Notamacropus eugenii: one gene and its partners. The protein of the gene in region 2 purifies or fractionates together with the protein of the main gene of each other region. This does not show direct contact. Links are inferred from orthologs where the notes say so. Each region holds a gene or a part of one and is shown on either strand. Other genes may lie near its edges.

The links. Proteins that work in one complex are often made in the same cells at the same time.
Region 1: the proteins of EIF4A3 (region 2) and SRSF3 purify together in Homo sapiens (affinity purification with mass spectrometry; 3 studies listed by BioGRID and IntAct, with this or other methods). This does not show direct contact. The link is inferred for Notamacropus eugenii from reciprocal best matches to the Homo sapiens genes EIF4A3 and SRSF3.
Region 3: the proteins of EIF4A3 (region 2) and SAP18 fractionate together in Homo sapiens (co-fractionation; 3 studies listed by BioGRID and IntAct, with this or other methods). This does not show direct contact. The link is inferred for Notamacropus eugenii from reciprocal best matches to the Homo sapiens genes EIF4A3 and SAP18.
Region 4: the proteins of EIF4A3 (region 2) and UPF1 purify together in Homo sapiens (co-immunoprecipitation; 8 studies listed by BioGRID and IntAct, with this or other methods). This does not show direct contact. The link is inferred for Notamacropus eugenii from reciprocal best matches to the Homo sapiens genes EIF4A3 and UPF1.

What each region holds. Positions count from the first base shown.
Region 1 is NC_092873.1:93,993,984-94,001,941, reverse strand, and holds the start of SRSF3 (serine/arginine-rich splicing factor 3), read right to left. Parts: upstream 3,063-7,958; 5' UTR 2,926-3,062; intron 1,253-2,925; 5' UTR 1,251-1,252; coding exon 1,045-1,250; intron 1-1,044. UniProt on the Homo sapiens protein: Splicing factor, which binds the consensus motif 5'-C[ACU][AU]C[ACU][AC]C-3' within pre-mRNA and promotes specific exons inclusion during alternative splicing.
Region 2 is NC_092873.1:322,650,595-322,658,119, reverse strand, and holds the start of EIF4A3 (eukaryotic initiation factor 4A-III), read left to right. Parts: upstream 1-4,434; 5' UTR 4,435-4,598; coding exon 4,599-4,767; intron 4,768-7,525. UniProt on the Homo sapiens protein: ATP-dependent RNA helicase. Involved in pre-mRNA splicing as component of the spliceosome. Core component of the splicing-dependent multiprotein exon junction complex (EJC) deposited at splice junctions on mRNAs.
Region 3 is NC_092876.1:188,251,355-188,258,468, forward strand, and holds the start of SAP18 (histone deacetylase complex subunit SAP18), read left to right. Parts: upstream 1-4,052; 5' UTR 4,053-4,603; coding exon 4,604-4,732; intron 4,733-4,948; coding exon 4,949-5,058; intron 5,059-7,114. UniProt on the Homo sapiens protein: Component of the SIN3-repressing complex. Enhances the ability of SIN3-HDAC1-mediated transcriptional repression. When tethered to the promoter, it can direct the formation of a repressive complex to core histone proteins.
Region 4 is NC_092875.1:66,552,487-66,560,261, reverse strand, and holds the start of UPF1 (regulator of nonsense transcripts 1), read left to right. Parts: upstream 1-4,713; 5' UTR 4,714-4,884; coding exon 4,885-5,118; intron 5,119-7,775. UniProt on the Homo sapiens protein: RNA-dependent helicase required for nonsense-mediated decay (NMD) of aberrant mRNAs containing premature stop codons and modulates the expression level of normal mRNAs.

The DNA.
Region 1 (7,958 bases), about 230 Mb from region 2:
TGAGAAACTTGGAGGGAAATCTACAAGATAAATCTTTTTAACAGGTCAAAGACCATGTCTCAACTTTGTATTCCAATGCAGCAGACAATATTTGTGTTAAGAATTCTTCTCTAAGCACTTGGGATCTCTAACACTGACCTTGGTTTACCCTATTTCATTTCAAAATTGTATTTTTAATTTTTAGTATTTTAAAATTGACACCCTTAAAAGCACTTTATATGAGCTCACATGATCTCTATTCTACCACACAACTTTATACCCTGATTATCTGGTTGCCTTCTGTTTTACAGTACAGTTTACAAGTATATATTAATGTGCCATTATTGAAGCTCATTGATTAATAATCTCCTGACCTAGGCAGAAGCAATAAGATGGTAACACAAATGAGTGGGTTAGCATATATGTGTTTTAGGGCCCCAAAATAGGAACATCTGAACACTAGATGGCATAAGACAGATAAATTAAGCATAAAAAACACTAACCAATTTTAGCTTGATTCATTTTCTGCAGTGGTTTTTGTGATACCAAAGCACAATTCTGACAGCAACAAGGGAACTAGGTGGCCATCAACTCTAACCTCATCCTAGTATTCATTTTTAGAAGTAGCTCAATAATCACTCTTAAAAAAAAAAAAAAATTAAGTCACCAAGAAAGGAGTGAAACCCCTTGAGTAAAAACAGTCTATGTAGCTGCCTAACAAAAATGCTAACTTTATTGTGGATTATGAAGTTTGCACTAAATCTGGTAACTCATTTATTCTGCTCACTGATATGGTAGTGATCTAGTTGTACAATTTCACTGGTTATCATAAAAGTCTCCCAAGTGATACTAATTATGTGATGGCAGGCAAATTAGCTATACTCTATCTGCCTTAGTTTTCAATACTGTAAAACGAAGTCACTCCTTTAAAATGCTGTCTATGTAATTGTGCTATAGTTTTATGATATACAATTCATTGTAATTTCCTCTAGTGAATTCAATGTGTAAACGCATAATTTGTATATTAAGGAGAAGTAACTACAGAGATGTTACATAGGGCATTACCTTCCATCTAGTTCTCTAACAGCATCAGCTGCATCTCTGGGATCTTCAAATTCAACGAAAGCAAAGCCGGGAGGATTTCTTGCAACCCACACACTTCGGAGTGGTCCATAATATCCAAAAGCTCGCTCCAATTCAGTCTTGTTGCCATTGTTACCAAGGTTACCTACATAAACCTTACAATCCAGTGGACAAGAGTCACGATGCATCTCTGTAACGAGACAATAGCAAAAAACGTTTAGTATTTGCAAAACTTTAATAAAATTCTTAATCAACATGACTTAAGATGCTAACTTAAGATAATTATAACTAAGCGCACTCCTTTAGAATATCAAAGACAAGGAAAGTCCAATGAAATCTAATTTAAGTCTGTTAACTACTCACCAACCCACCTCCCTCTGAGAAACTATCTTGTTTTTCCGTAGCAGCATAAATGGGGAAAAGAGCTCCAGAAGCAAAGTCTTTGGCAAAAGGCCAGTGTCATTTCATTCCAACATCCCCACCCATAAGCCGGTCCTTGAAAACCATAACTTTGTGATCATTAGCATAATCAAAACCAAAGACTCATTTACTCATTTAATAATTCTTTTGTAAATATGTTTTCTGAAAGAAGACTTTCCGTTTTATGCTAGGGTCCTCTTTCAGAGATCCTCTCCAAATTATCCTGTATGTCTTGTTTCTACCGTTCTTTGCCTGCGGTCTCTCCCATTTCATTTAAGAGCGAGGGGCCCCAGACCAGGAATTATTTTTCTTTACAATTCCAACCGTAAATACTGCCGTGTATATTAAATGTTTAAAGGCTGTTGATTTAATTTGTAAATCAACTATCGCAGATCATCCTTCAAAATTGCCAATGGATGCCGATTTGAATACTCTTCCTAGGGGGTCGCTACTGCTTTGTGTATCCTTGGCGAGGAGGTGCATGGAGCCAAAGGAAGATAAGTAACCAACAACCCTACGTAACAAAGTCAAGTATGCCGCATTCTTGGTTGGCCCGCTCACCCCAACATCAACCCAACTTTTAACTTCGTTGGACACAGATAGGAAGATCCGAACCCCAAGGCCGCAGACTTCAAGACGGGGCTCCCAACTGCACCCCCTAACGCCAGTCCGAACCCATGCTCGCTGTAAAGCACGCCACACCCAACCTACGGATTTTTCAGGACGCAAGTCAGAACAGGCTGCTAGGAATGCGGGGAGGGAAACTCCACCGGGCCGGAACCTCGCACAAGTCTCAAACAAAACAAAACAAAAAAGGAGGTCCCAGGCCTGTACCGGGGCCGCATCGCGCGGGACCCACGGGCCGCCTGCGGTCCCGCCACGCGCGCGGGAGGCCCCCAAGGGCCCACACGTAATTGGGAGCCGCCGGGGGAGGCGGCGGCCCCCTCCCTCCCTCCCTAGCTCCCAGCAGGCCGAGCGTCCTCCGCGGCCCCCGCACTCGGGAGGACCGAGGCCCTCCATCCACACGCACCCCCGCCCGCAGAAACGCGGGAAGGAAGCTCGGCTCCGCGGAGGCCAAGCCCACGGCAACCACCGAGGATCAATTTGCCGTGAGGCGAGAAGAGGCGCCATGAGCCGGGAGGCCGCGCCCGGGCGGCCTCGGTTCCTCTTCCGGATGCATCGTCCTCCCCACCCCCACTCCCCGGCCATCCCCTCGCCTCAGCCCGCGGGGCTTCCCCTCCCAGCGCTCCCCGGGTGCCCAGCCCCTGGTCGGGGATTCGGAGGTCCCTCCCCGCACTACCAATGGCGGCTCGACCGCCAGCCGCCGAACGTCACAAAATGGCGGCGGCGCCTCTTTGTCTGTGCTCGGCCCCGCTCGGGCCTCACGACTACGACGGCGACGAAAAAGAACCCAATCGCCCGCTCCGCTGCCCGTTTCCTTACCGGGTGCTGTGGCTTAACAGGCGGGGATCCGACTCCCACCGCTCGACTGGGTTTTTCCCGCTCCTCCCGGCTCCGTCCCCGCGCAGCTGTGGCGCTACTCCCCCGACGTCCACAAAATGGCGGAACGCAACCTTCGCCTCCCGACTTATATGCGGCCGCCCCAGGCCACGTGACAGAGGGCTCTGGCCAATCAGAGGACGAGGAACGCGATGACCGACATCTCGGAAGGGCCCGCCCTTCGTCTCAAGTTGTGAACCTCGGCTCGGACAGCGGTTGGTTGCCGGGAGCAGGCCTGAGGCTGGACGCTGCGCCCGTCCCGCCAAGCAAGGCCCGCTTCCCAGCAGCCGAGCGTGCGCGCACTGCGCGCGTTGTGTCGGCTGTCGGTCGGCCCCCTCCCCCATCCCGCTGGGCCTCCTTATCGTTTATCGGCCCGGTGCCGTGTGCCGGTGTATAAAAAATAATGGAAACCCGTCCCCAGAGCACGGTGCAAAATGGCGCAGACTTGTGTAACGTCCGTGTGCCGGAGGTTCTCGGCGCGCTTCTACCCTCCCGCGGGCGCTTAGACTGAAGCGGGAGGCCCCAAGGCCTTCCGTCAGCCTTTAGGAGGCGCGTCCGAAGCGCCGAGCGCCGGGAATCCTGAGAGAGGACGCCGAGCGGTAGAAAAAGCAGGCCCTGCCCTCCGGGGGCGCGTGCGCACGGGGAGAGACAAGACGCGAGCAGCGTGGTACCCCCAACACTTAACGTGTTTGTATGTAGTGTCTATATGCTAATTATAGTTGTATCGTCGCTGCCTTAGTGTTTACATATCGCGTGTTCCTCCTTGCGTTTGGATCCAAATCTGCCCTCCGAGGAACGACGTGACGTCACTGGATGACGTCACTGGAGGACGTGGCTTTGTTTTGAGTGAGGTCACCAGCCTGACTTCTCCCACATGCACATGTGTAAACACATGCAGTATGTGTGTGCGTGCCAACAAGCACATGTGTGTACATGTAATGCATGTGATCGCACCTGCCACATACAGAGACGTGTATGTTTACATACAGTAATGTGTGTGTATAGGTGCACACCTATCGTTCATGTATATGAATATGTGGATGTGGAATGTGGAGGTACCCCTGAGATTAATGTGTCTTTTCTATGAGTTCCCTTCCCAGGCACATGCCCTGGGAACACAATAATCCTGTTTGCTGCTCGGAGTCAGTCTTGCTTACTACCCCCAGACCTTTGCTGGTGTTCACCTGGTTGACCTTGCTGAGCTGAGCCCCACCCAACTGGCCTAAACCAGTCTTGCTGTCATCTGTTCCTGCAAAACTTCCTGCTTCTATGTCCACTTATTCTGGGAAAGATTGTCCATCCTTTTCCCAGCCCTTCCCCTGAACCTCCCCTATATGGTTTTCTCCTGGGCTGTGGGCTCCTTTGTCTGATTTTCTTCCTAATAAAACTTCTACTTTCAATCCAGCTTGGACTACTCTATATTTTGAGGGCTGGGCTTCACCTGATTGACATTTCTGGGGCATAGAAAACAGACATATTAATCTCAGGGACTCTTCTACAGTATGCATGCATGCATGTATGTATGTATTCTCATCTGTGCCTCCAAGAAGCTATAGCATGTGAATGGGCCATACCTCAGTAAAACCGTCTCTGCAGATAGGCTAAATCGGGTTGTGGGTAATTGACAGGCTGAAAACCCATTGATGAGTTAGGAGACTATCTATTCCAAGGATGTGAAGACTTCCCCCAGCCGAATGGGCAGGTGATAACAATTTGTTCCAAGAGCCATGAAGGGGGCTGACGCAGGTGCTGTGGAGTGCTTAGAACTTGGTTAGACATTGAAGATGCCAAGATCATCCAATGCATCCCAGGTCATCTCCAGTTGTCCTGACTTTTGCCCTGACACTGGGCTTTGATGATTCTGGAAAAGAGAACGAGGCTGATGACTCTGCCTCACTTAAATCTAATTCATAAGGAAGTCAAGATATCATCCTGTGGTATCATTGGTCCTCTTTGAAAATGAAGGACAAATAGCGACAACAATAGGATAAATAAGGGGTAATCTCAGAGGGAAGGCACTAAGCTTACAGAAGCCTAGGAAAGGCTTCATGAAGAAGATAGGTCTTCAGCTGGGGCCTACAAAAAGCCAGAGAAGTCAGGAGATGGTGATGAGAAGGAAGGCCCTCCAAGCATGAAGGACAGCCAGTGAAAAAGCTCAGTGGAGAGGGAGCTAGCTTGTCACGTTCAAGAAACAGCAAGAAAACCAGTGTCCCTTGATCACAGAGTCCATGATAGTGAGCAAGGTATAAAAATCTTGGAAAGATATGCTGACACTCTGAAGAATGGAGAGGTCATGAAGGCCTTCATATGACGAAAAAGGATTTTAGTTTCGATAGTGGAGATGATAGGGAGCCACTGGAGTTTATGGAACAGAGGGACAATATGGTTAGATGTACACTTTAGGAAGCTCAATTTGATACCTTAGTAGAGGATAGATAGGAGTGGGGGGAGGCATGAGGTAGGGAAACCCAACAGCAGGCTAATTGGCATATAGTCTCATGCAGGGATGGGGAATCTGCAACCTCAAGGTCATATGTGACTCTCTGTGTCCTCAAGTGCAGCCCTTTAATTGACTCCAAACTGAATCCAAACCCCTTAATAAAAGGATTTGTTCTGTAAAACTTGAACTCAGTTGAAAGGCCACACCTGAGGATCAAGAAGGCCACACGTGGCCTTGAGGCTGCAGGTTCCCCACCTGTGGTCTAGGGCAATAGTCTAGGCAGGAGTCTAGGATAAGTGTCTGCACAAGAGTGGTAGCAGTGTCAGAAGAAGGAAGGGGACATATTTGAGAAATGTTATGAAAGTAGAAACAATACAGCTTGACAACTGATTGGATATAGGGAGTGACAGAGAAATTGAGGATGATCTTGAGTTGGAGTGATTGGGGAGGATGGTGGTACCCTCCACAGTAATTGGGAATTTAGAAAGAGTGGAAGGTTTGGAGGGGGTGAGGAAGATAATAAACTCAGTTTTAGACATGTTGAGTTTAAGGGATGCTCAGTCTGAGATGTCTAAAAGACAGTGGGAGATGTTAGATGTTAGGTCCAGAGAGGTTAGGATTAGACAAGTAAATCTGTGAGTCATTTGTATAGAGCAGACAGTTGAAACCATGGGAGCTGATGAATTCACCAAGCGAAACAATATGGAGAGAGAAGAGAAGAGGATCTAGGACAGAACTTTGGGGGTCTTCCATGGTTGGCAGATATGATGGGGATGAAGGCTGAACAGGCTGTGTTCGTCCTTCGTTTTCTAAGGCGACCATAACAGAGAAATGATGACATGACTTATATTTGACTTTGTTTTGAGTGAGGGAAGGCTGTGCAAGGTCACCAGCCTCACTTTCTCCTCCTGAGCCATCTGGGTTCAGCAACCAGATCTGAAGATTGAACAGAGGATATAGAAAGGGAGTAGTCAGACAGGTAGGAAGAGAAATTGTAAAGAGCGGTGTCCCAAAAGTCAAGAGAGAAGAGAATATTAAAAAGAGGGTTATTTATAGTTCAAAGGTTGCAGAGAGGTCAAAAAGTATGAGAACTGAGAAAAGTCTGTTAGATTTACCAATAAAGAAATCATAAATGACTTTGAAGAGATCAGATATTGTTGAATAATGAAGTCATAAGCCAGACTCAGTTAGAATAGATCTTGGAACTCATCTATTACAATTTTCTGATTTCACAGATAGGGAAACTGAGGCCTATGACAAGGTAAAACCAGACATTTATTAGGATGAATAATACTTGACAAGATAGGTATCTTTCTCCCTCATTTCTTTGTTTTATGGACTTGTCTCTAAAATGATTTTAAGGCAGGGCAATAATAATCTTTGTTGTATATACTTGGATGTTAAAATGTTGAATAACAATTATGTGTTTCCTAATCAACACTTGCTAATTAAGTGAATAAAATCAGACAATATAAAAACAACAGCCTAAACGTAGCCTCAGGGCTGCAAGAAGCAGGAAGCATAGAAGTGTCATTGTGTTGCTCAAAGCAAGGCAGAGTAGACACCCTTTTGCCTCTTCTCTCCCAAACCCTCTCCAAGAGAAACTATTTCCTGCAAAGAGGAAAAGTAGGAGGTTAGAGCCAGAAGCTTGAACACTCTGCTTTCTTTAGGAGGAAGGGACACTGGGCTAGACGTCTGTCTATTAGCTCTCTTAAATATTGTTAGTGTAAAGGATGTAATTTTCATGTTCAAGCTAAACCTCTAATTCCCGTTTATTAATGAAGAAAAGAAGAAGTCCCTTCCCACCAGGTGCCAGTTCCAAAGTGAACAGACATAGCACTTAGCAAAAAAAATTCATTTATCCAAATCAATAACAAAACAGAAATCAGAGAATGTATACATAATAGAACATATACCACACAATACACAGTGAAGGCCCTTTCCCATGGGGAGAAACACAACTCAGCTCAACTGAGAGAGTCCCAGAGGAAATTTCCCAGTCTCTAGTGTAGCAAACTGGGAATAGAGACATGAAGGAGACTGCTAGCTCCTCTCTTGTATTATTTTCCCATCAGTAACCTGAAGTGGATTGGCATTGCTCATCTTCTCTCTTAAACCTGGAGCCCAGAAACCCCCAAAGCAAATACACAAACCAAAGAGAGGAAGGGGATTTAAGAGCTGGAAGAGACTGCTGTGAATGAAGAGATAGAAACTCTTCTCTTTCCTGTTCTCACCAACTCCATCCTGCCCCTCACACAAGCACTGGAAGTTGATGTCCACCAATAAAGAGAGAATCTCATACCAACTGACTTTGGGTCTCTGGCTCCATAAGGATAGCTCATCTCTGGAAGATAGAACAAATTTGACAATGTCTCTTGATGTACTCGTGGATAAAATGGAGAAGTGTAAGCAACATAATAGCATAGTTAAATGACTGATACCAAGGTATAGTGATTAAAGAGTTGATGTCAACTTTACTAGAAGTCTCCAGTGGAGTGCCCCAGGGATCTGCCTTGATCATGTGTTATTCAAAATT
Region 2 (7,525 bases):
TAAGTGCTGGGGACACAAAGATAGGTAAAAAATAGTCCTCACCCTCAGAGAGCTTGCATTATAATGAGGGAAACAATGTATAAATTACTGGGTGCATATGTGATACAATGTGTAAATTACTAGTTGAATACATGATATATATACAAAGGTTATAAATTAATGTCAGAGGGGAAGGTTGGAGGAACCATTAGATGGTATTTAAGCTGAATCTTGAAGGAAACCAAGAAAGCTAAAAGGTAGAGGTGAAGACAGAGGGTATTCCAGGCATGGGAGAAAGCCAGCGCAAAAACACAGTGTCCTATACCAGAAACTAACGCTGAGTGAAGTGAGTAGAACCAGGAGAACATTGTCCACAGCAACAGCAACATTGTTCGATGATCAACTATGATAGGCTTAGCTCTTCTCAGCAATACAATAATCTAAGACAATTCCAAAAGATTCATGATGGAAAATACTATCTACATCCAGAGAAAGAACTGTGTAGTCTGACACATACCATTTTCAGGGTTGGTTTTTTTTTTTGGTATGTTTTTGGTTTTTCCTATGGTTTTTCTCTTTTGTTCTGATTCTATTTTCACAACATGACTAATGTGGAAATATGTTTAACCTGATTGTACATGTATAACCTATATCAGATTGCTTGCTGTCTTGGGGAGGGGAAAGAGAGGGAGAGAGAAAAAATTGGAACTCGAAATTTACAAAAATGAAAGTTGAAGACTATCTTTACATGTAATTGCAAAAAATAAAATACTATTAAGTGCAAAAAAAAGTTAGACCCTCATGAATCTTTAAAGTTTCTTATATGAAGTACAAGGTTTATATAAGGATAAAAATGACAAGTGGTACATAAAAACCGAGTTTCTCTTTAGTTTCAGGATTGGAAAACCAAATTTAAGAGATTGTACTTGCATTAAATCTTGTTACTACTTGATTTTATCAGAATTATCTAGGAACCTTTAAAAGTGATTTGGAACCAAAGAAATTGAGTCTCCTTTGGAGCTGCCCTGAGAATGAGGCCTATTCCAGCATGTTCAAGGGAGAAGATATCCAGAGAACAGACAACAAGAGACATCTGGTACTCAAAATGTGTTGATGAAAATGGGAATTGGGAGTGGGTTACTAGGATACAAGGAGACTTCATTTTAGATAATATTGATGATCATTATTGTGTTGGTTTAGCCTTTTATTTCATGGTGTTTATGTTTAAGTTTTCATGGTTACCCTGGTGAAATATAAATTAGTCCACTGTAAGCCCTCTAATTAGCATGATCTATATAACCTGACTGATGTAATTTATGAATATATGAAAAATCTTATGGATTTGGCTTATAGATAAGTGATCCATGGAGGGAATGAGCTGCCACTCTCCCATGAAAGAAAAGGGGAAAATTGAGGGAACTGAATTGTGGGAACTGGGTGAACCATATCAGGTCCATCTTGTGAATCAATTCTGGAGCTAGCTGAGTTCCCTACTCAGTTAGTGGTATATTTCACTTTCTGTCTTGTGGGAAAACTTTATTCAGTTGTAAGAATTGGGGGAAAACTCCATTGCACTGTTTGAACCCAGCTCTGCATACTTGGGAGGCCTGTTTAGAGATCCTTAATTAAGACCAGAAACCCAATCAGACCCCAAAATTGATACAAGTAGTTTTCTCACAATTATACATCTCAAGCAATGTCTTTTCTGAAAACTGGCCCCATACTGATCACTCATTTACTGTTATCATGTTCCTCTGATTTTTCACAGATATGTGGGGGAAGTGGAATATCCTTTTGATTTCAAGGAACTGCACCTGTTTCCTCTTCTAACCAGTAAAGTCCCTGATCTTTCTTCTACTTAGAAGTCAGTTTATCCAGTGTTATATTCTGGTTATTTCCTCTTACTCAATTGGTCTTACTTGATTGTTTTTAATGTATACTAATGTGTCTCCACCTGCGTTTGAGGTCCACTACCAAAGTTGAGGAAGGAGACTGGTCCCAATTTGTCAGGCAAGTAGCAGCATTGCTGAATAAACCAAAATGCTCAGAAGTGCAAGCCTTTTTTGGTTTCCTTAGTCATTTCATCTTCCACTTGCCACAAAAAGGCAAATTATCACCTGGGAATGGAGCAAAGGAAGATTGAAAGAAGGATGATGTCAAGGTGATTTGAAGTATGGAATATAAGTATTAGATAAGGCCTTCTGCTAAGAGAGAACAGGGAAGGTATTGGTACGGGCAGCTTGAAGAGCGAAAATACACTTTGGGACAGACTTTCAAGACTGTGATAGTTCATCGGGAAGAATAAAAAGATTGGCATACAGGAGTGAGGGTTCAGTTGAGACAAGATAACACAAACTTATAGTAGACCTAGTCAACCGGATTTTATGATTTCTTCCATTTGTGTTGGATATATAGTCATAATAAACAGATTTTCTAGCACTAAGTTGGGAATGCAGCTCCTTGCATGTGATAATCATTTGTTTGCCAGATGCAATAACACTTGGGCCAGAAGTAACATAAAATCTTAAGGCTGGAAGAGACCTCAGATGTTACCTAGACAAATGATCACCTAGCTCCTGCTTTCAAAATCCTCTATATGTTTAAATGCATAAATGGTTGTTGTCCTTTATTCTCAAAGAGGATCAAAATGACATCACTATGTTGGAATAAAGGTACTGTGTCCAACTCTGCACAATACAACAGCTTGGAACATTTTACCTCAGGTCAGGTACAGTCCATATGAACATTTGGAGTGGCGATGTCTCTAAATTTGTGCATATGTGACAGTTGCTAAATTTTCTTGAAACAAGAGCTGTTTTCTTTCAGGTCTTTTTGACCACAGAGTAGAATCCTCGTCTGCCACAGTAAGCAGGCCAGGGTTGGGTAAGGTAGACAATTTTTAGGTCACCTTTTCTAATCCCTTCCTCACACCAGGAGTTAAAGGGTAGTCCAAAAACAGCTGCTCAGACACCCAGGTGGCTACCAAATCCCACTCCTGGCTTCCAGTGAGAAGAGGTCCCTGTGGCCTGGCCACCTGTGTGCAGCACTGTGACTACCTGCTGCTTGGTCACTTACCTGTCAACACAGGGCTTTGAAATAGGTAAAAATGGTAAAATGGAATAGGTGATGTTTTCTGAGGCACATAAATACACACAAACACGCTTATCACAGTCCTTTACCTGAAATAAAAGGTTTATTTTATACATGTTACTTAGGAGAAGCAATGTGGCATGGTGGAGAGGGAGGAAGACTTAGTCCTCTCTGAAACACATAATGCCTATGTGACTACGGGGTAGCATAGCAAGGTCCATAAAACTTTTAAACTTCTGTAATAGTTTTCACGTCTGGTCTCTGAAGTTCTATATTCCTTTCTTATGTGTGTAAGAAGTTGGTTTTGCTCTTTAAAATTATGTAACAACTAGTGCTATACTTCTTCACTTTGAGGAGGAATTACTAAATGGATAATCCCTTTTGTAACATGCATTCTGGGCTGCTCCCTCAACTTGAACTTGTACTGGCACTCATGGGTTGGGTCCTCAGAAAGGAGCTGCTGCCAAGAAGTTTTAGAAGGGTATCCAGGAGCTACTCACTCCTAATAACTTTGCAAGCCCCCACCAGCGGTTGGCAATCAACCAGAGGACAAAATTAGTTCTTAGCAAAGATATTTACTAAGATGATACAGCAAAGGCAAGTTACAACCCCCCCCCCCCCCCCATAAAATTAAAGTATGCCCTCCCACAACGTCCTCCAGAGGAGTGGGCATACACGGGATAATCAGGTCTTCACGAGCATGCGGCCCAAGCAGTGGGAACTCCAGAGCCTGGAAGTCCTCTCTCTCCTCGGGGAACCCAAGATCTAGCCCTCAGTGCCGTGTTTCTGCGGGGAAGATCCGGCTGGGCTCTCGATCCCTTACCATCTGCCTTCTCTGCAGCAGGGGTCCTGTTCCGCCTTCCAGGGAGTGTCTTTCTACACAAATGTCTCTCAGCTGTGCCTACAACTCTCAAATGCGTGGACGGGAAGCGTCCCGAGGGGCGCTCGCTGCCAGGTGCCACGGTCACGGGAGGGAGGCAGGAGAATTCTCTGCGTGCCCCACAAAGCCAAGCCAAGCCATGAATCTCCCCGCGGGGCTTGGCTATTGAAAGCCCCCAAATAATGATTACGAACCAGGCCTGAATGCCGCGGCTTCTTCCCCAGCCCAGTCCTGCACTGAAATAGTTTCTTTCCTAACCCCCATATTCTCTCTCTGATCCTCAGGGTGGAGGCCCACTAGAAGCTTAGGAGGCTGACGCCACTAAGACCCTAGGCCTACGGGTAACTCCCCCTCCGCTCCCCGCCCCCTCCAACGGAAAGCGCGGCGCCTTCCCCGGTCACGTGACCTGGAGAGAACAAGGAACCGTCGGATCCGCCTGGGCGCACGTTCTTGTGCGTACGCGCCTATGCGTGCGTGCTTGCGCACGTTCGGACGCACACCCGCCCACCCCTGACCTTAACTACGGAGATGGATAGATGACGGCGCAGCCTATCAGCTGCTTCTGTGTGCTTCTTTCTGGGGCCTCGGCGTGCGCGCGCGCGCGCAGTTCCCTGCCTCCCCTCAACCCCTTTCCGGCTTCCCAGGCAGTATGGCTGCCACAGCCACGATGGCTACTTCAGGTTCTGCTCGGAAGCGGCTGCTGAAGGAGGAAGACATGACAAAAGTGGAATTCGAGACCAGCGAAGAGGTGGATGTGACCCCCACCTTCGACACGATGGGTTTGCGGGAGGATCTGCTGCGAGGCATCTACGCCTACGGTGAGCAGGGCGCGGGCGCTGCCGGGGGCCGGCTGGCCGAGGCGGGCACGCACGCTGCTGGGAGGGAAGGACGCCCGGGCGGGGGAGAGAAGGGCAGATTGTGTTCAGGGCCAGTGCTACGAGGTGCGCTCTGGTTAGGTCGGGTGTCGTTGTAGGCCTTCGGGCAACGGGCAGCCCGAGCAGCTCCAAGCTCCGCCCCGCGGTGACCTCATTGGGAGGCCTGCCTGCCCGCTTCCCTCGCGGAGTCCTCGAGCTCGCTGCCCCGAGCATGCTACGGAGCCCGCGGAGGGAGGGGTGGGGGAGGAGGAGCACGCTTCCCGGACCCTCATAAGCAGAGTAGCAGAGTTGGAGAAACCATCTACTAACTTCAGTCTAGTTCAACCTCCCATCTCTCAGCTGGGGAAAACTGAGGCTCCTAGAGGGAAGTTCCACAGCCAGTTAGTGGCTCTTGACTGCTATATGCTTGCTGGACTAATGCATTTTTCCACCAATTAAAATCCCTCTATTCTAGAATCTTTCTGCTTTGTATCTTTATTTTCTTTGGGAGATGATCGATCTCTAGTCCAACTTACCTCATTTTACAAATGAGAAAATGAGCTTTCACAAAAGGTTTCTTGGGAATGTTTGAACACTGAAAGTTAGGTACTCCAGAGAACTATAATTGGCTTAAGAGGAAAACACAAGTCTACGTTAGTTAGAATTCCAGCATTATAAATCGTTTCTATTTTACAGTTCGGTAACCTATCTTTAAAGTATAGTGAGGTTAGGGTGATGGAAAATTTGCATAAAATTTTCAACGTAATTATATTTTACATAAAGTTCACTTTACAAAGGTTTTTCCTCATAGCATCCCCATAAGGTTGGAAGTACAAATATTATTATTCCTATTTTACAGAAAGATATACTGAGACTTAGAATCTATTTTTGCTCAGTCTCTTGACTCTAATGTTGGGGTTCATAGTCATATCCTGGTCTTGAAATTCCAAATTTAGTGCTCCTGCTACAAGATCATTATTAGTAAAGTAGCAGATAGTGATTTGTAATTAATAAATATTTAATTGAAATATATTAAATGTTTTTACTTAGCCTAACAAAGGGGGTGAGGGTGTAGCATTTATTAAACACCTTCTATGTGCCAGGTGTTATGCTAGGCACTTTAAAAATACTATCTCATTTTATCCTCAGAACAATCTACTATTATCTCTTTTTTAAAGTTGAGGAAACTGAGGTAAACAGGAGTTAAATGCCCTGTGCCACACAGCCAGTAAGTGTATGAGGACAGATTTGAAGTGGAAAAAATTCTCAGTACATTAATGTGAAAAAGTTATTGAGTTTAGGCTAGATGCTCAGTGATTCAGAAGACCCTGAAAATTCATAAGGAAAAATATTTTGAATTTTTTATTCAATAATAATATAAACTCCTAGTTGTTATTTAAATCTTCTTCACAAGCTAGCTCTTCACTAGCGAAGGACAGACTGACCACCTTCTAATCTTATTATACTTAAACACACACACATTCAGCCAGACTGCCTCATGCTGATTCTCACACAAGGCATTCCATCTTCTGTCTCTGCTGCTTTTCCATAGATTTTGTTCCCCATGTTTGGAAAGTATCATGGTGGGCCCTTCAGTTCTCCCAGCCTTTGATTTGAACTTCTGACCTATAGCATCTGCTTTGATATGGCATTTTTTTTTTTGACCCACCTACATAAACTCTTATTTGGACTACCAACTGTGCAAAAGCTGGTTTAACTGTGGACTTGGGGTAATCGCTGAAGAGTCATTTGTTATTTCAGCATCCATAAAGGGTAGCAACTCTTTTTCCAAGTGTTTCAGTATTATCAGTTTCTTCTATCTGAAATAGATAGTATATTTAGCAATACTGTAAACTGAGAGTCTTTAACTTCAGACTTCATCTTACCAACAAATCTTCAATTATGAACACAGATATATAAATTTTTTCTTGTTTTTAAGTAATTTCATTTAAATGACAAATATATTTTATCCCCAGTATCTCACATTTATTCCTTCCTGCCCTTTGAAACCACTACACTAACTCAGGCCCTTATTGCCCTCTCATTTGGATTGTTATAAAGCCTCCTAATTGGTTTTCTTGATTTTAATCTATCTGTTTTCCAACCAGCTTCCACACAGCTGCTAAAATTGACTGTGTATGCCACTGCTTCCACCCCTACCCCCGCTTGCCTCTAGAATGAAATAAAAACTTCTTAGCCTGACACATTTTACATTACTCTTCTTTATAAAAGTCTACATTTCCAACCAGACTGATAAAGATTTCCTAAAATAATGCTCCATTTCCCAGCTCTATGAGTTCACACATACTCCTTCCCCATACATGGATATCTACTCCCTCTTTATCTTTGCCTCTTAAAATCCTTAGCTTCATTCATAGCTCAGTTCAGGGAACACCTCATTTCCTGATGACCTCCATCCTTTCGTTTTTAGTGTTGTCTTCCTGAGATTATCCAGTTGTGGACCTGTTAGGTAAAGGTCACATAACAAAGTAGTGGTAAACCTAAGAATAGAATTCAGGGCTTCTGATGATCTTTAGCCTGCTCTTTCCATTGCACCAGTTCTTTTCAACAAACATTTATTACACACCAGCTTCATGTAGAGCACTGTGCTAGATTTACAGAGAGGAGTTTGGAAGACACAAAGTCTCTTCATGAGGTTTAGTCTAGTTGGGCAGACGTGACTCGTGGATAGATAATTATGATACAAAATAACAGACATCTG
Region 3 (7,114 bases), on a different chromosome or scaffold from region 2:
AAACTCTGACTCCAACCAGCACTGATAGGTGAACTTTTTGCCTTATCTGGCCCAGAAACAGGCCTATTTTGTCTACTCTCCTCACGATGTTCCCCAACTCCAGCACCCTCTCTACCTGCTTTCCAGTATCCCTTTGTCTGTTGTCTGCATTATTTACCTATACCTCAGTCAATAAGTATTTATCAAGAACCTACAACGTGCCAGATACTTGCTAAGCTCTGAAGATACAAAAAGAAGCAAAAGGCATCCCTGCCCTTAAGGAGCTCACAACGTAATGGAAAAGACAACAAGCAAACCCTTATAAACAAGCTATATACAGGATAAATACCAGTAGTGAGCATTTAATGGTGAGATTAAAACCCAAGTCTCCAGACTGCAAGTTCCTGGCTCTTTTCAAGGCATTGAAGCATCCCACATGATAAGACAATTAATGTTTGTTTTTTTCTATTAAGTTGAATTCTACTCATTGTCTGCCAAGTCTCAGCTTTCAATGACTCCCACCAATTTACCACCTTCTTTCCTACACATGGGTTGCTGAATGAAGGTGGAGAAAATTATGAAACCATTCCGAGTCTACTACAGATTCATGTTACACAACATCAACTGGACTCTCATTGCTGCTAGGCAATTCTATTACACCTGCCTCACCAACTTGCTATCTCACGCTCCCCTGTGGTTCTTCTACACCTTTTCTTCCCTCTTCAGTTCTTTCATGGCTTCCTTTCTTGTCTCAGTTGAGATCCTTGCCTCAAATTTTACAGAAAAAAAGAAAACTTAGGCCATTAGCCTCTTCTCCCTCTTCCCTATCTACTATCACTCAACTCAGGTGCCTTCTGCCACTATCTCCTCCTTCACTCTTATTTCATATGACAAAGTAGCCTTATTCCTTATTAAAGTTGACTTCTACTTGTTCAAGGACCTCATTTCATCCTGTCACCTCTAAAAGACTGCCCCCTCTGTCATCACTTATTTTTAGTCTCTTCCAGTCAAATGGCTCATTCCCTACTGCCTACAAACAGGCCCATCCCATGTTTTTTTATCCTGATAAAGCCTTCTTTTCATCTTTCCATCCCTGCTAACTCTCATTTCATATCTCTTCTGTCCTTCGTATCTAAACTCCTCAAGAAGGCCACTTACAATAGGTTCTTCTACTTCCTCTCCTCTTACTCTGTTCTTAACCCTTTATTATCCAGCTTCTGATCTTGTTTTTCCACTGACATTGCTCTCTCCAAACTTACCAATGAGTTCTTAGTTGCCTGGTTACATGGCCTTTTCTCAGTCCTCATTCTCCCCACCCTCTCTGTGGCCTTTGACATTTGTTGATCCCCCCCCTCTTTTCTCTTAAGTTTTTGGGACACCACTCTCTTTGTTCTCCTACCTACCTGACCCCTGGTTCTCCTCCTACCTTTCTGATAACTCCTTTTCTGTCTTTGTTGGATCCTCATTCTGATCTGGTTTCTCTTAGGATTCTGTCCTGGGTCCTCCTTTCTTCTCCTTCTACAATTCTTCACTTGATGATCTCATAAGCTCCCACAGATTTAATTACCATCTCCATACTGATGACTTCCATATCTATCTATCCTGTCCTAACCTCTCTGCTGACCTCTAGTCTCACATCACCAACTTCCTTTCTGACATCTCAAACTGGATATCCAATAGGCATCTTTTTTTTTTTTTTTTTTTTTGTTAGGGTAAGAGCTCCTTAAAGGCAGAATCTTTTTCTCAGGCTCCCTAGCAGAAAGCCTTGTGACATAATACTGAGACATACTTACTGAGTTGAATTTAATATAGACATGTCACGAGACATGTCACAAGAGGCAATGTAATGTTTTATTTATTTTTTTGGCAGTTTTAAAATTTTTTCTTTATTTTCATTTTTAACACAATTCATATCACATGAAACAATTCCAACTTTTGGTCAGGTGATACTTCTTTTAAAGCATTTACAATATAGACCACAAATGAATTTTTTTTTAACATTAACCAACTGAGACACAAATAGTAACTATGTACGCTAACTTCACATTGTCTCCACACTATTACTAAGAACCAGTAGACATCTTAAACTAAACATGTCCAAAACAGAACTCATTATCTTTCCCCCTAAAACCTCTTCCCCTCCTACTTTTATGATTACTGTAGACAGCAATACTACCCTCCCAGTCCCTCAAGCTCACCATCTAGAAATCATCCTGGACATCTCATTATCTCTACCCCTCCCTTCCTTTCCCCCCTACATTCCCCATATCCAATCTTTTGCCAAGGCCTGTCAATTTCACCTTTGCAACATCTTTCACATATACCCCCTTCTCTCCCCTGACACTACCACCCCTCTGTTATAGGTCCTTATCACTATATACCTGAATTATTATTTTTTAAAAATTTATTTATTTTTAGTTTACAACATTCAGTTCCACAAGCTTTGAGTTCCAAATTTTCTCCCCTTCCCTTCCTTCCTCCCTCCCCAAGATGACACGCAATCTGATATAGGCTCTACATCTGCATTCACATTAAACACATTTTCACATTAGTCATGTTGCAAAGAAGAATTATAACCAATGGAACGAGACACAATAAAGAAGAAACAAAACAAAAATGAGAGAATAAATAGTCTGCTTCCATCTGCATTCAGACTCCATAATTCTTTCTCGGGATGTGGACGGCATTTTCCATCATGAACCTTTTGGAGTTATCTAGAATCTTGCATTGCTGAAAAGAGCCAAGTCTATCAAAGTTAGTCATCACACAATGTGGCTGTAACTGTGTACAATGTTTTCCTGGTTCTGCTCCCCTCACTCAGTATCAGTTCATATGCATCTTTTTAGGTTTTTCTGAAGTCAGCCTGCTCATCATTTCTTATAGCACAACAGTATTCCATTACATTCATATACCACAGCTTGTTCAGCCATTCCCCAATTGATGAGCATCCCCTCAATTTCCAGTTCTTTGCCACCACAAAAAAAGCTGCTATAAATATTTCTATACATGTGGGTCCTTTTCCCATTTTGTATGATCTCTTTGGGATATAGTCCTAGAAGTAGTATTGCAGGGTCAAAAGGTATGCACATTTTTATAGCTCTTTGGCATAGTTCCAAATTGCTCTCCAAAATGGGTAGATCAGTTCACAACTCCACCAACAATGCATTAGTGTTCCAATTCTCCAGCATTCATAATTATTCTGTTTTGTCATGTTAGCCAATCTGACAGGACACACCTGGATTATTGCAATAGCCTGCTGGTGGGTCTGCCTGCCTTAAATCTCTCTCCACTCCAATCTATCCTCCATTCACCACCAAGAGTGATTTTCCTAGAGTACAGGTACAACTATGTCATTCCCTTGCTCAATAAACTCTAGTGGCTCCCTATCATCTCTAAAATCAAACACAAATTCTCTATTTAGTAATAATAATATCTATTTAACACTTACTATGTGCAGGCAAGGTACGAAGCACTTTATAGTAATTATCTCAATTGATCCTCACAACAACCCTGGAAGGTTGGTGCTATTATTGTGTCATTTTACAGATGAGTAAACTGAGGCAGACAGAGGTTAAGCGGCTTGCCCATTTTCTCTGGCTGTCCTCCATGCCTGGAACGTTTCTCTACCTGCTGAGTCTTCTGGCTTCCTTCAAGTCCCAGCTAAAATTCCATGTTTCCCAACCCCTCATAATTCTAGTGCCTTTTTCCCTGTTACTTATTTGCATTAATCCGGTGTATAGCTTGTTTGTACATATACGTTATAGTATGTACATATGTACATGCTGCCCCAATTAGAGCGCAGGGACTGTCTGGCTTCTTTGTATCCCTAGGACTTGGTACCCAGTAGCACTCAGCGCTTATTGATTGATTGACATTGACCTCAATTAGGGTTGAATTCATTAACGGATCGGTAGCCAGAGGCTTTAGAGGATCAATAGATGAAAGCAGTTTTGGCAATGTCCTTCCACACAGCATTCTGTATCATTTGTACGTAGTGTAGTATATGCCAGTTACTTTCAGGAAGCAGGCGGGGCCTTCCCAAGGCGGCCGTTAGAACCGCCTACGTCACCAGAGGAAGTCGTACGTGGAGCGCCGGTGACGCGGGGGTCACAGACGCCCAGGGTGGGCCTGGGGCTCCTCCGCATCCCCAGGGGGGGGAGGGGAATCTGTCAAGAGAATGGGAAAGGAGTGGGGAACTGACCGGGCAGCGTGTTCTTTCATTTATGAAGAAACTTCGTTATAAACTCAGTTCAGCAATTCACACCTCCAGGAAAGGCTCCCGCATCCTGTGGAAATTGTTCTTTTCTCGCGGAGGGTGAAAACTGCGTCATTGAAAAGGGGGCGATGAGAACCCCGAGACTGGTGAAGATATAGGGAGGGGCGGGAGGAAGGCGGGGTCAGAAGAGTAAACAGGACACGCCCTCGATTTTGACCCCGCCCCCAGCACCGATCCCTCCTACCCGGCCCAACGCTGACTCAAGGCTCCAGGAACTGGATGCGCACGCGCTGTAGGGAAGGTCTCATCGTATAGTGCGCCTGCGCCGAAGAGCCGCCTCGCCTTGCTCCGCCTCTTCCCTCCCTATAAGTCTGTCGAGATTCTCCTCGCGAGAGACTTCGTTCATTCATGCTCGCGGCCGGGGTCGGAGGTCACAGTGAGCGTCTAGGAGGCCGAAGGAGGAAGATGGCAGTGGAGTCCCGCGTCACTCAGGAGGAAATTAAAAAGGAACCGGAGAAGCCCATTGACCGGGAGAAGGTGAGGGCCCGGGGCCGCTGGGGTTCCGGCGCAGGCGGAGGCGGGGCCTCGCTGGAGGGTGGGGGTGGGGAGCCGCGGCCTGCGGGGGGGGCGGGGGCGGGCGGCCCCTGCTGGGGAGCTTGGGGGCGGCCGGGGGGCCGTGGGGGGCTGCGGGAGCCGGGCCGGAACCTCCCTCCTCCCTCACGCGGGTCTCCGCTTCTCCGCCCCCGCACGCAGACGTGCCCGCTGCTTCTGCGGGTCTTTACCACGAATAACGGCCGGCACCACCGAGTGGAAGAGTTCTCCCGAGGAAACGTGCCTTCGAGCGAGCTGCAGATCTACACCTGGTGAGCGGTGGTCCTGGGGGAGGGGCGGGGCGGGGGGTGAGGCCCCCGTTCCGTAGGCCCCGCCCGGCCCCCTCACCCGTTTTACCGCCTTCTGAGGGAGTGGCCTGGGGAGTTTGGGTCATCGGGGCTAGAAGAGAGGTGCCCACCTGGCTGAAACCTCCCGTGGGCTGGGATTGACCAGCGTGGCTGCCCCCTGACCAATGGTAGTGGCCGCAGTGCAAAACTTTTCACGTCTGAGCCTCACCAACAAGCACCCTGGCGCAGCGGGGGCTCTACCAGAGGCTTGGAGGTATCCCTGATACCAGTGTGAAGGAACAACAGTTTTGGAGAGGCTGCTACCCAGGGTTAGTTTGAGAAGTCGAAGTGGAACCCAGGTCTTCTGAACCCCAAACCATAATTAGGTCCTCAGTCTTCACATCTCAACCCTATTTTAGTAGATAAGAAAACAGCCCCATCCCCATGCAGTCTTGGTGCCTCTGAAGGCTGGGAGTGGGGTGTTGACCCATATAACCTCACCTCCTTCTGACTTTGCCAATTGAAACTCTGTGAAATGATTTGTGAATTCAGCTATTTTGAAAAATGTGTTTTTCTGTGGTGGTAGGGGAAAACTAGGTTTCAGCTGTTATAGGGGTGCCTGATTAAATAATGTTATATGAATGCAGTAGAGTATCAGTCTTTAAAGAAAAGGTGAATATCAAGTATTCAAAGGAACATAGAGTTTAATACTCTCATTTTGACTCACCAGAGTTCTGTGACTCCAAAATTCAGCACTTCCTGCCGTGGACACATAGTTTCTTTTCATTGGGAAGCTAAATAGAAAAGCCTGATGTCCTTTCTTTTGTGTTTTGAGTAGGACACGTTTTTATTACTTGAGTGGAGTTAACTTTGTAGTCTCTGTTCTGTAGGGTTCACTCTTCTATATGTTAACTGTGAGGTTTGGTAGTGATTGTTTTGTGAACTAATATTGTAGGTCGTTAAGTGTTAATAACTTAATTTTCTCAGTGCCCTCCATCTACCACAGACTTCACAACCCGTTTGTCATTTAGATTTTTTTTTCAAGCATTGTTATTGCTCCCAAAATTCATCACCCTGTGGCTTTAGCAATGAGCCTATCTAACCGCTAACTAGAGAACAACAGTGTGTTTAAAAAAAAAAAAGTTAAATGTCTAATAAAAGGACATTATAATAATAAGAGTTTAGTTTGCTGCTCAGTGTTCTAGATGAAGTAGTTTGGGAGCTCTCACCTCTCCTATTTGTACCTATGCCCTTATGGCAGCCTACTCTTGAGTTATTTCTGATTCTTCCTCTTTCCCCACTAAGGTTATTTACCAGATTGGCAGCGTTGTGTGAAGGCAGGCACAATAATGAAGGAGTGGGGAAAAAATTGGGAACATGCAAAAGGAGTGATACCATTACTCTCTAGGAGGTCAAACATGGGCCCTGTGTAGGTGAAAATATTCATAGCAGTACCTTTTGTGTCAGCAAAAAATGAGAAATTAAGTGGGTACCAACTGGCTAGGGAAAGGCTCCACAAATTATATATCTATATAGATTATCATTCTCCTGTAAAAAATGACAGCTATGAAGACTTGAAAGAAACTTGACGACTTATATGACTTTACAGAGTAAAGTTGCACTTTGTAGGAGAGCAGCATATGCAACTACAGTAATATGAATGAAAAAACTAAAGAAAACTGATGAATAATTAGAATTTTTGTCTTGAAGAATCACAGTTGAAATATACTTCTTTTTGATAAGAGGTAGGGAACTCAAGGTGTGGAATGTTTCTTTCACTGTCAAGCATAGCTTTGCTACTTTTTTTCTTTCTTATGGAGGGACCTGGTACTTTTTTGAAGAAAGTATATCTGGAAATAGCTGCTGTAAAAACAAAAGACATCAATGAAACTTTAAAAATATATGTCCATTTCCTGGTATGCTTCTGAATTAGCTGTCACAGGGAAAAGAGATCTGAAAATAACTCACATGAAGATTGTTAATACTTAAAGGTTATTTTAGAATGCTGGACTTGGTAGAGCAGAAAACCTGAGTTTGAACT
Region 4 (7,775 bases), on a different chromosome or scaffold from region 2:
CCCCTCCACTAACTGTGCTGCCCAAGGTTGTGTCCAAGACCCTCTTCTCTTCCCTCTCTCTCTGTTCTTATCTGCTCTTATCTTTATTCAGACAACTCCCAAATTTACATATCCGGCTTTCACATCTCTAGAGCTCAAGTCATTGCCAAATGTCCAGTGAACATCTCAGGAAAATCAGAATTTGAATACTACTTCAGACTCTGTCTCAGTTTGCTCATCTACAAAATGGGGCTAACTACTACTACTACTACTACTACTACTACTACTACTTCATAGGGTTGTTGTGAGGTTGAAATGAGATAATACATGGAAAGTGTTTTGTAAATCTTAAAGCACTTTAAATATTAGCCATTATTATTATGACTACATCCACACCTCAAAATTAACTTGTTTAAACCTGAAATCATCTTCCCATGCTACAGTGTCCTCCAGAGGTATCGATCATGAGGCCCTGATGCAGTTGAACTCCAGTTCAAATGTATTCGGGAAATAGTTAACAAAATAAATAAAAATACGATAAAATACAATATTCCATTTTGTGGTTGGTATGTTGTTCCAGTCATGTCGGACCCCATTTGGGGTTTTCTTGGTAGAGATACTACAATGGCTTTGCCATTTCCTTCTCTACCTTATTTTGCAGATGAGGAAACTGAGGCAAGCAGGGTTAAGTGATTTGCCCAGGGTCACACAGTTAGTAAATTTCTGAGGCCAGATTTGAATTCAGGAAGATGAGTCTTCCTGACTGCAGGCCCAGCACTCTATCCACTGTGGCACCATACATAATGTTAATATGTGGTTTTCTAAGTCAACCTTCTATAGGGTTTACTGGCCCCAATTCTCTTTGTGTTTGATACCAGTGGTGAATGGAGGACTTCTGTTTGAATCTTGCCTCTGACATTTTCCAGCTTTGTGAGTATGAACTAATCACTTTTTTCTTTCACCTTCCATTTCCTCATCTCTCAAATGGGGATAATAACCCCGTCTACCCCACAGGACTGGTGGGAGGTGCAAATGGGAAAAGGTACATGGAAAGTGCTTTGGAAATTGCAAAAAGCTTTAAATCTGTTATTATTATCATGATATCTGTAGTGAGTGCCCTCTGTAAATCCTATAGAACCACACAAACATCAGTTATCATCCCAATACTTTGCAAACATTGAAGTGCTTCATGTCAGCTATTATATTATTATTTCTCCAAGCCTGCTCAACTCCCCTTTGGGGGCATAGGATGTTCCCAAGCTCCATCCTCCAGACTGGCAGCTTCCGCATCCTCTTGGGCGTTCTTCTTTGTTCCTGACCCCACCCAACATCCAGACAGTTGCTTTGCTGCTCATCCCTCCTGGCCTCTCTCTGCCTCTCAGTTTGCCTGGTCTTCTTCAAAACTCAGTTCCAATCCTACCTTTGCCAAGAGGCCTCTTTCCCTGTCCCTCCAGCCGCTAGTGCCTTCTCTCTGAGATCACCTTCCATCCACATTGTCCAGTATATATCCTGCACATTCATGGTAGTTTTCTTATTGTCACCTCAAGTCAAATCAGAACCGTTGAGGGTGGTGGATTGCAGTTAATTGAGGTGGATTGTGATTAATTCCATTTTTTTTCCCTCCTTAATGCTTAACACAGATTATGCATTTAATACTTGTTTAGGGGCAGCCAGATGGTGCAGTAGATAGGATGTGGCCTCAGACACTTGCTAACTATGTGACCCTGGGTAAGTCACTTAACCCTGATTGCCATAAATAAGCAAATAAATGCTTGCTTATTGGACTGACTACGTCTCTCAAATCTGCTCCTTTCTATCTAATCAAATGGCCAACACCATTCTAACGCAAGTCCTAACCAAGTCTCTTATTTTATTTCCTTGCTTCTAGTCTAGCTTGCCTCTATCCCACACTTTACACAGCTGCCAAAATAATCCTCTAGTCACTCCCCTTTCTCAAAATCCTGCCATGACTCCCTATTGCCTCTAGAAGAAAATATTAAACTCCTCATAATCTGGCTCCAGCTAACTTTTCCAGTCTTATGGCCCATCATTCCCCTTCATGAATTCAATGCAATAGCTAAAGTGTTGTTCTGTCAGTCACTTCCAATTCTTAGTGACACTGTGCACCATACTGTCCATGGGGTTTTCTTGGCAAAGATACTGGAACGGTTTGCCATTTCCTTCTCCAGTTATAGCTAAACTAGATTATGGCAGAATCTAGTATCTCTCCCTGGCTATCTTCTGTGTATGAAGTGCAGCGGAGAGAGCACTGAAATGGAATCAGGAAATTCTGAGGTCAAATTTGGCCTCAGATACTGACCAGCTGTGGAACTTTGGCAAGTCATTTAACCTGTTTGCCTCAGTTTCCACATCTGTAAAAATGGAGATAATAATAGCAATTACTTCCCAGAGGTGCAAGATAATAAAATAAATAAGGATAAAATAAGTTCATATTTGTGAAGCTCTGTAAACTTTAAAGTACTATAAATGCTACCTATAATTATTATTATTATGTCTTTCTAAATTCTTCTCTTCCTTCAATGGTGACCTTAGGTGCTACCATTTTTAAGTAACCTTTCCTTAATCCTCTCCTCATTCAATCCTTCCCACTCAGATTTTCTGAGAGTACTTTGGATGGATCTCTTTTGGTTTTGTTTTGCCTCTCTTGGGTCCATGTTACATCCTTACCTTTGCCCCCCACCCAGTAGAATATTCTCCTTGAGGCAGGGTCTCCTGTCATTTTTATAGTATTTATCTCACCAACATCCACTTCAGGGTTTTGCACTGGTCGGTACCTCCCCCAAATCTTTGTTGAATGAATGAATGAATGAGGAAGTTGCTGTGAGGCAGATTTCAGCTAGATGTAAGAAAAAGTTTCCTGACCATTAGGGCCATTCCAAAGTTGAATGGGTTAGCAGAGGCTGAAAGGTTGCTTGTTGGCCATGGTGCAGAGGGGAATCTTGTTCAAGTATGGTTGAACATAATGCTATAAAGGTCTGTTCCAGCTCTGAGAACCTGTGATTCTGTGGAAAAGAGAGAGGAGATAGCAGGAGGAGAGTAGAACCTGGGCAAATCTTAATGTGCATAATCTCTGATGCATCCATCACCCACAAGCAGGGAACCTTGGTGTTGAAAGCAGCCCTCTAGTCCAAGTCATGTCCCCTATGGCAGGGGTGGCTTGAAGACCTTTCAGGTACAGGACATCACTCTTGAGAGGCCATGCACTTCCCTAGGAGAAGGCTGTCATATAGTCTCTTGTAGTTTGTGGGTGTCCACCAGACTTGGAGCTCCCTGGCCAGGAGGCCAGTATCTCACTGTCCTGGGTTGTGATCCCACGCCATCTGCCACGCGTGGGGGCACGTTTCAGGAAAGGCATGGCCAACCTGGAAAGACCCGAAGGAGGGCTGGCAGGGTAGCGACGGTGGCTGGAGAATTCCTACGGACGGATCCGAGCGGTGTTCAGCCTGGAGGGTGCCAGTATCCGAGGAGCTCCTGGGCAGAGGAGGGGGGCTGCCTTGAAGTCCATTTCCAAAGTTCCTCAGAAGAAGGCTGCCCCAAAGGGACAAGGGCCGCTGTGTCCTGGGGTGGCCGGCCCCTTCCTGCCCCGAAGCCTGCAGGCAAAGTTTGGATGACCATTTGACCGGTACGTGGTAGACGAAAGAAAGGAAAAACTGGCCACATCTCTGAGGTTCTTTTCCAGCACAGAGATTCTGAGGGTCTGGGTCCGATCCCGACTTCAAGTGTGGGCAGGCCCCGCACACACCAGGAGCCCCATGATTGCGGATGACACTGCCAGGATAGCGCCGGGGAGTCACAAAGCCTCGGGCTTCACAACCACCGGGTGTGACACGCGGAGCAGAGCCGAGCCCGGGGGCTTGCGGGCCGGGCAGACCCCGCCCCGTCCCCGCCCCACGCGCCCAAAGGTCTGCAGACGTCTTAACAGCTCTGCCGGCAATCCCCCCACGAGGCAAGCGGTGGCAAGGGTCAGCCTCGGGCTGCAGGGTCAGGCCCTCTACTTTAGGCTGAGTCTCAGTTTCCTCATCTGTACAATGGGGATCACAAAGAAACGGAAGCGGAGGGCCGCCCGGCTCCGCCCCCACCGCCTAGGCGTGGGGCCGAGCTGGAGTCGCGAGCTCCGGGAGGGCGGGGCCGGGAGGGCGGTGTCGAGGGCGCGCCGGGGCGGATGGGCGGGAATCCCCTTTCGCGGGGGGACGAGCCCTGCAGCTCCCCCTGGTATCCCGCCGCCCAAGAGGGGGCGCACGAGCCCAGCAGGCCGTAGACGTTCAACGACCCGCTGGCCCCGATTGGGACTGAGGGAGGGGAGGAGGGAGAGGGAGAGCGACAGGAGTCACGTGCTGGGCGGCCGTTGGACGCCCAACGTCCGCCCCTCGGGTTCCCCCCGCCCCCTCCGCGGGGGTGGGGAGATCAGAGGGCGGGCCCCACCCACGCGTTGGCTCCGCCTCCCTCCTTCTCCCGCCCTCCGCGCCTCGTGCGCTCTGCGTGCCTCGTCAGCACGCTCTCGGCGTCCTCTCCGAGGGAGGCGGGGACTGAAGGGAGCGAGCGGAGTCCCGACCTAAGCGGGGGGTTGGTGGGGGCAGTGTCGGGCACGCGCGCGGCGGCGGCGGTTCCTGGTTTAGCGTGTAGATTATATAGGAAGAGGAGGAGGCTCGGGAGGGAGGCTTTGAGGCGAGGCCCTGGTCGGGGTCGCGGCGCGCGCGCTCTCGCGGCGGGTCGGTTCGGTTCGGGCGGCGGGCGCGGCCAGGCCTTGGGCGCGCGGGTTCCGAGGTAGGCGCGAGGCCGCGGGCGGAGCCGGGCCCTCGAGTGCGAGACCAGGCCGGAGCCGGCGAGGCGAGGCGAGGCGGAGCGGCGGCGGCAGCAGGCCAGGCCCCGGGCGGCGGCGGCGCCATGAGCGTGGAGGCGTACGGGCCCAGCTCGCAGACCCTCACCTTCCTGGACACTGAGGAGGCCGAGCTGCTGGGCGCCGACACCCAGGGCTCCGAGTTCGAGTTCACCGACTTCACCCTCCCCAGCCAGACCCAGACGCCCCCCGGAGGGCCTGGCGGCGGCGGCGGAGGCGGTGGCGCGGGAGGGCCGGGAGCCGCGGGCGTCGGGGGAGCCGCGGGCCAGCTCGACGCGCAGGTGAGGAGGGCTGGGGCCCTGCCCCTCCGGCGGAGCTCGGGGGGCTGCCCCCTCCCCGCCTCGGGGGCCGGGTGGCGAGGAGGAAGTGACTCGCCCCGGGGGTAGGTAGGAAGTGGAGCCCGAGCCTGCCGCCACCCCCTGCGGGGGAGATCTGGCCCTTTGGGGAGTTCGGATCCTCCCCCTCCTACACTTTCGCTGTGGGGGAGGGGCTGCCCTTAGAGAAGGGGCGTCATTTGGGGTGGGGGGGCACCAATCCCAGGACTCCGCAGCCTTTTCGGGGGAAGTGCAGCTGACAGATTTCCTTCCTCTCGGAGGCCAGGGGGGCTCCCTTGGTTTCTGAAAAATCCGACTGGGTCGGGGTGCAAGGGGCTTCCTGCCCCCCAGCTCCCCACCTGTTCTTGCTCCACTTTGAAAATGTGAACCTGGCAAAGATGGTTTGCTTTGAGCCAGGTATCTGTTACTCTCTCTTTCCAGGAAACTGAATTTTACCAGGCCCGGGATGTGCAGGGGACACAGCTTGGTGTTCAGATCGGAATTTTTTTTTCCCCCTCACATCGTAGAAGTACTGTTGTCTTTTTAAATGTGTGTGGGACTTCCTACTTTTAATTACAAGTGATTTCTTATACAGGGTCTTAGCAAGGTTCAAATACACATGTTAGTGGCAGGTCGTTTTTCTCTTCCTATTGGCTTTACCTTGTTGAAAACTTTAACCCTTTATGAAAGCAACAGGTATCGTAACTTTCACTTTTATGAAATACTTTAGAACAGATACGCTTCCTGCTACCTGGATATGGATCTCTTTCTTCCTGAGTACAGCCATCTGTTCTTATCTGATTGGCCCAGTCCTGTCTTTGTTTGGTCGTTACCTGACTCCTAATAGCTGTGTGACCCTAAGCGAATTAATCTCTTTGAGCCTCAGTTTACTTATCTGTAAAATGAAACTAATATTTGACCTACATACGTAGCATGTTAGTGAAGAAATCTCTTTGTGAGCCTTAAAGGGCTACAAAAATAAATATTTCCAACATTTTGAGTAAGAGCTGGAAGCTTTTCTCTTTTTCTTTTTTTTTCTTTTAAACCAAAGTTGAGTTCTCTTGAGGTTGACAAGGGGCCTGAGCTTCCCAGAGATGAAGTGATGTGCTCATTGTACTTTAGGGATTGAGCATAGTGGAACCTTTTGGATCCAGATCTTTCTCAATTCAAGGCTCTTTTTGTTACATCATACTGCTTTACAACATTATTTCTTTAAAGGTGGCAAGTTGGTGGGTGGAGCATCTGGTTTGAACAGGTGTGCAAACATGTTCTGCCTTTTTGCAGGTACTGAAGGAGGATTTGCCTAAAGAACTTGGGAACCAGAGAGAAGGATAGTAGAAATTTCTAACACTAGTATCAGTGCTCTGTAAAACATCATGTCTGTATATCAAATAAACCAAAACAATCACATATATGTAGGTACTTTCACATGTAATATGTAGCAAATATGTCAGATTGTACTCAGTGAAAATCTAATTTATAATTAGCCGTGATGCTCTTTGTAGAGAGGAGAGGAGAGGAAGGAGCTGGGTGGCATTTTGTCTACTTATATAGTGCTTTACAATTCACATGGTTTTTGTTAAGAAACACAGTAGTTTAGATTATAAATGGCAGCTGATAGTTTGTAGAAACTACCTTGATGGAAGTGTATTCTTGGGTAACATGAGTAGTTTACCTGTGCTTCACAGCCAATATGTCTAAAGTAACTTTGGGTGGTGGCAGTGTTGTCCAGTTTATAGGTTTTGTTGCTGATAGCTTGATAGCTCAGAAAGCTCCTGTTTGGTTTGTCATCAGCTGGTAGTAGTTGTTTGTCCTTTGAAATAATGGTTATTTTCATAAAGACTAACATTTCATTTTAGGTGAGCAGAACTTGTCATTAAGGTGACTACCGAAGTAAAACTTGATGTTATTGTTAGCAGAAATTTCTTCTGCATTTATACAATGCAAAGGTACCTCTCCTTCAATTTTCTATCCCTATTTAAGGAGAAAAGGTGAAGATTTAGTTTTTTTGTAGAGGAGATGAGGACCTTGATTGATAGGGATATGGAGAAGCAGGGTCAGTTTTGAAAAGATCTATCCCCAAGGTGCATTCAGGATCAGTATGTCTTTTGTAGTAATTGATGTCACCAGGTACTTCAAAACACTTGGGAGCTATTTATCTTACCTGAATTTCGGAGCTAGTGATGTAATCAACTGTAAGAAAGGAGATCCTAAACTAGAAACCATTGAGCTTTTTTTTGAGAAATGATTCAGGATTTTAAAAGGGGGGTGATTTTTATGATTTTGACACTTTTGAATAATAAAAAGAGGGTAAAATTCTTTATCATTTGAAGTGCTGGGTTTTGGTTTTTTTTACATTACCTTTGACTTTGCCTGTTAGAATCATCAAATATTAGAACTAGAAGATGATCTTTAGGTGATCCAATCCAACTCCCTGGTTTTGTAGATGGAGAAACACCCAGAGAGGGTGAGTGACTGACGAGAAAAATCTAACTTATTTCTCCTGACCTCCAGTCTAGTTTTTAATCATATGGTTTTATTATTATTTTTTTTAAAGACAAACTTAACTGATTAAAAGATGGAAAGTTATAGGCTGATTAGAACAGGAGAATGAGAACTGGAAA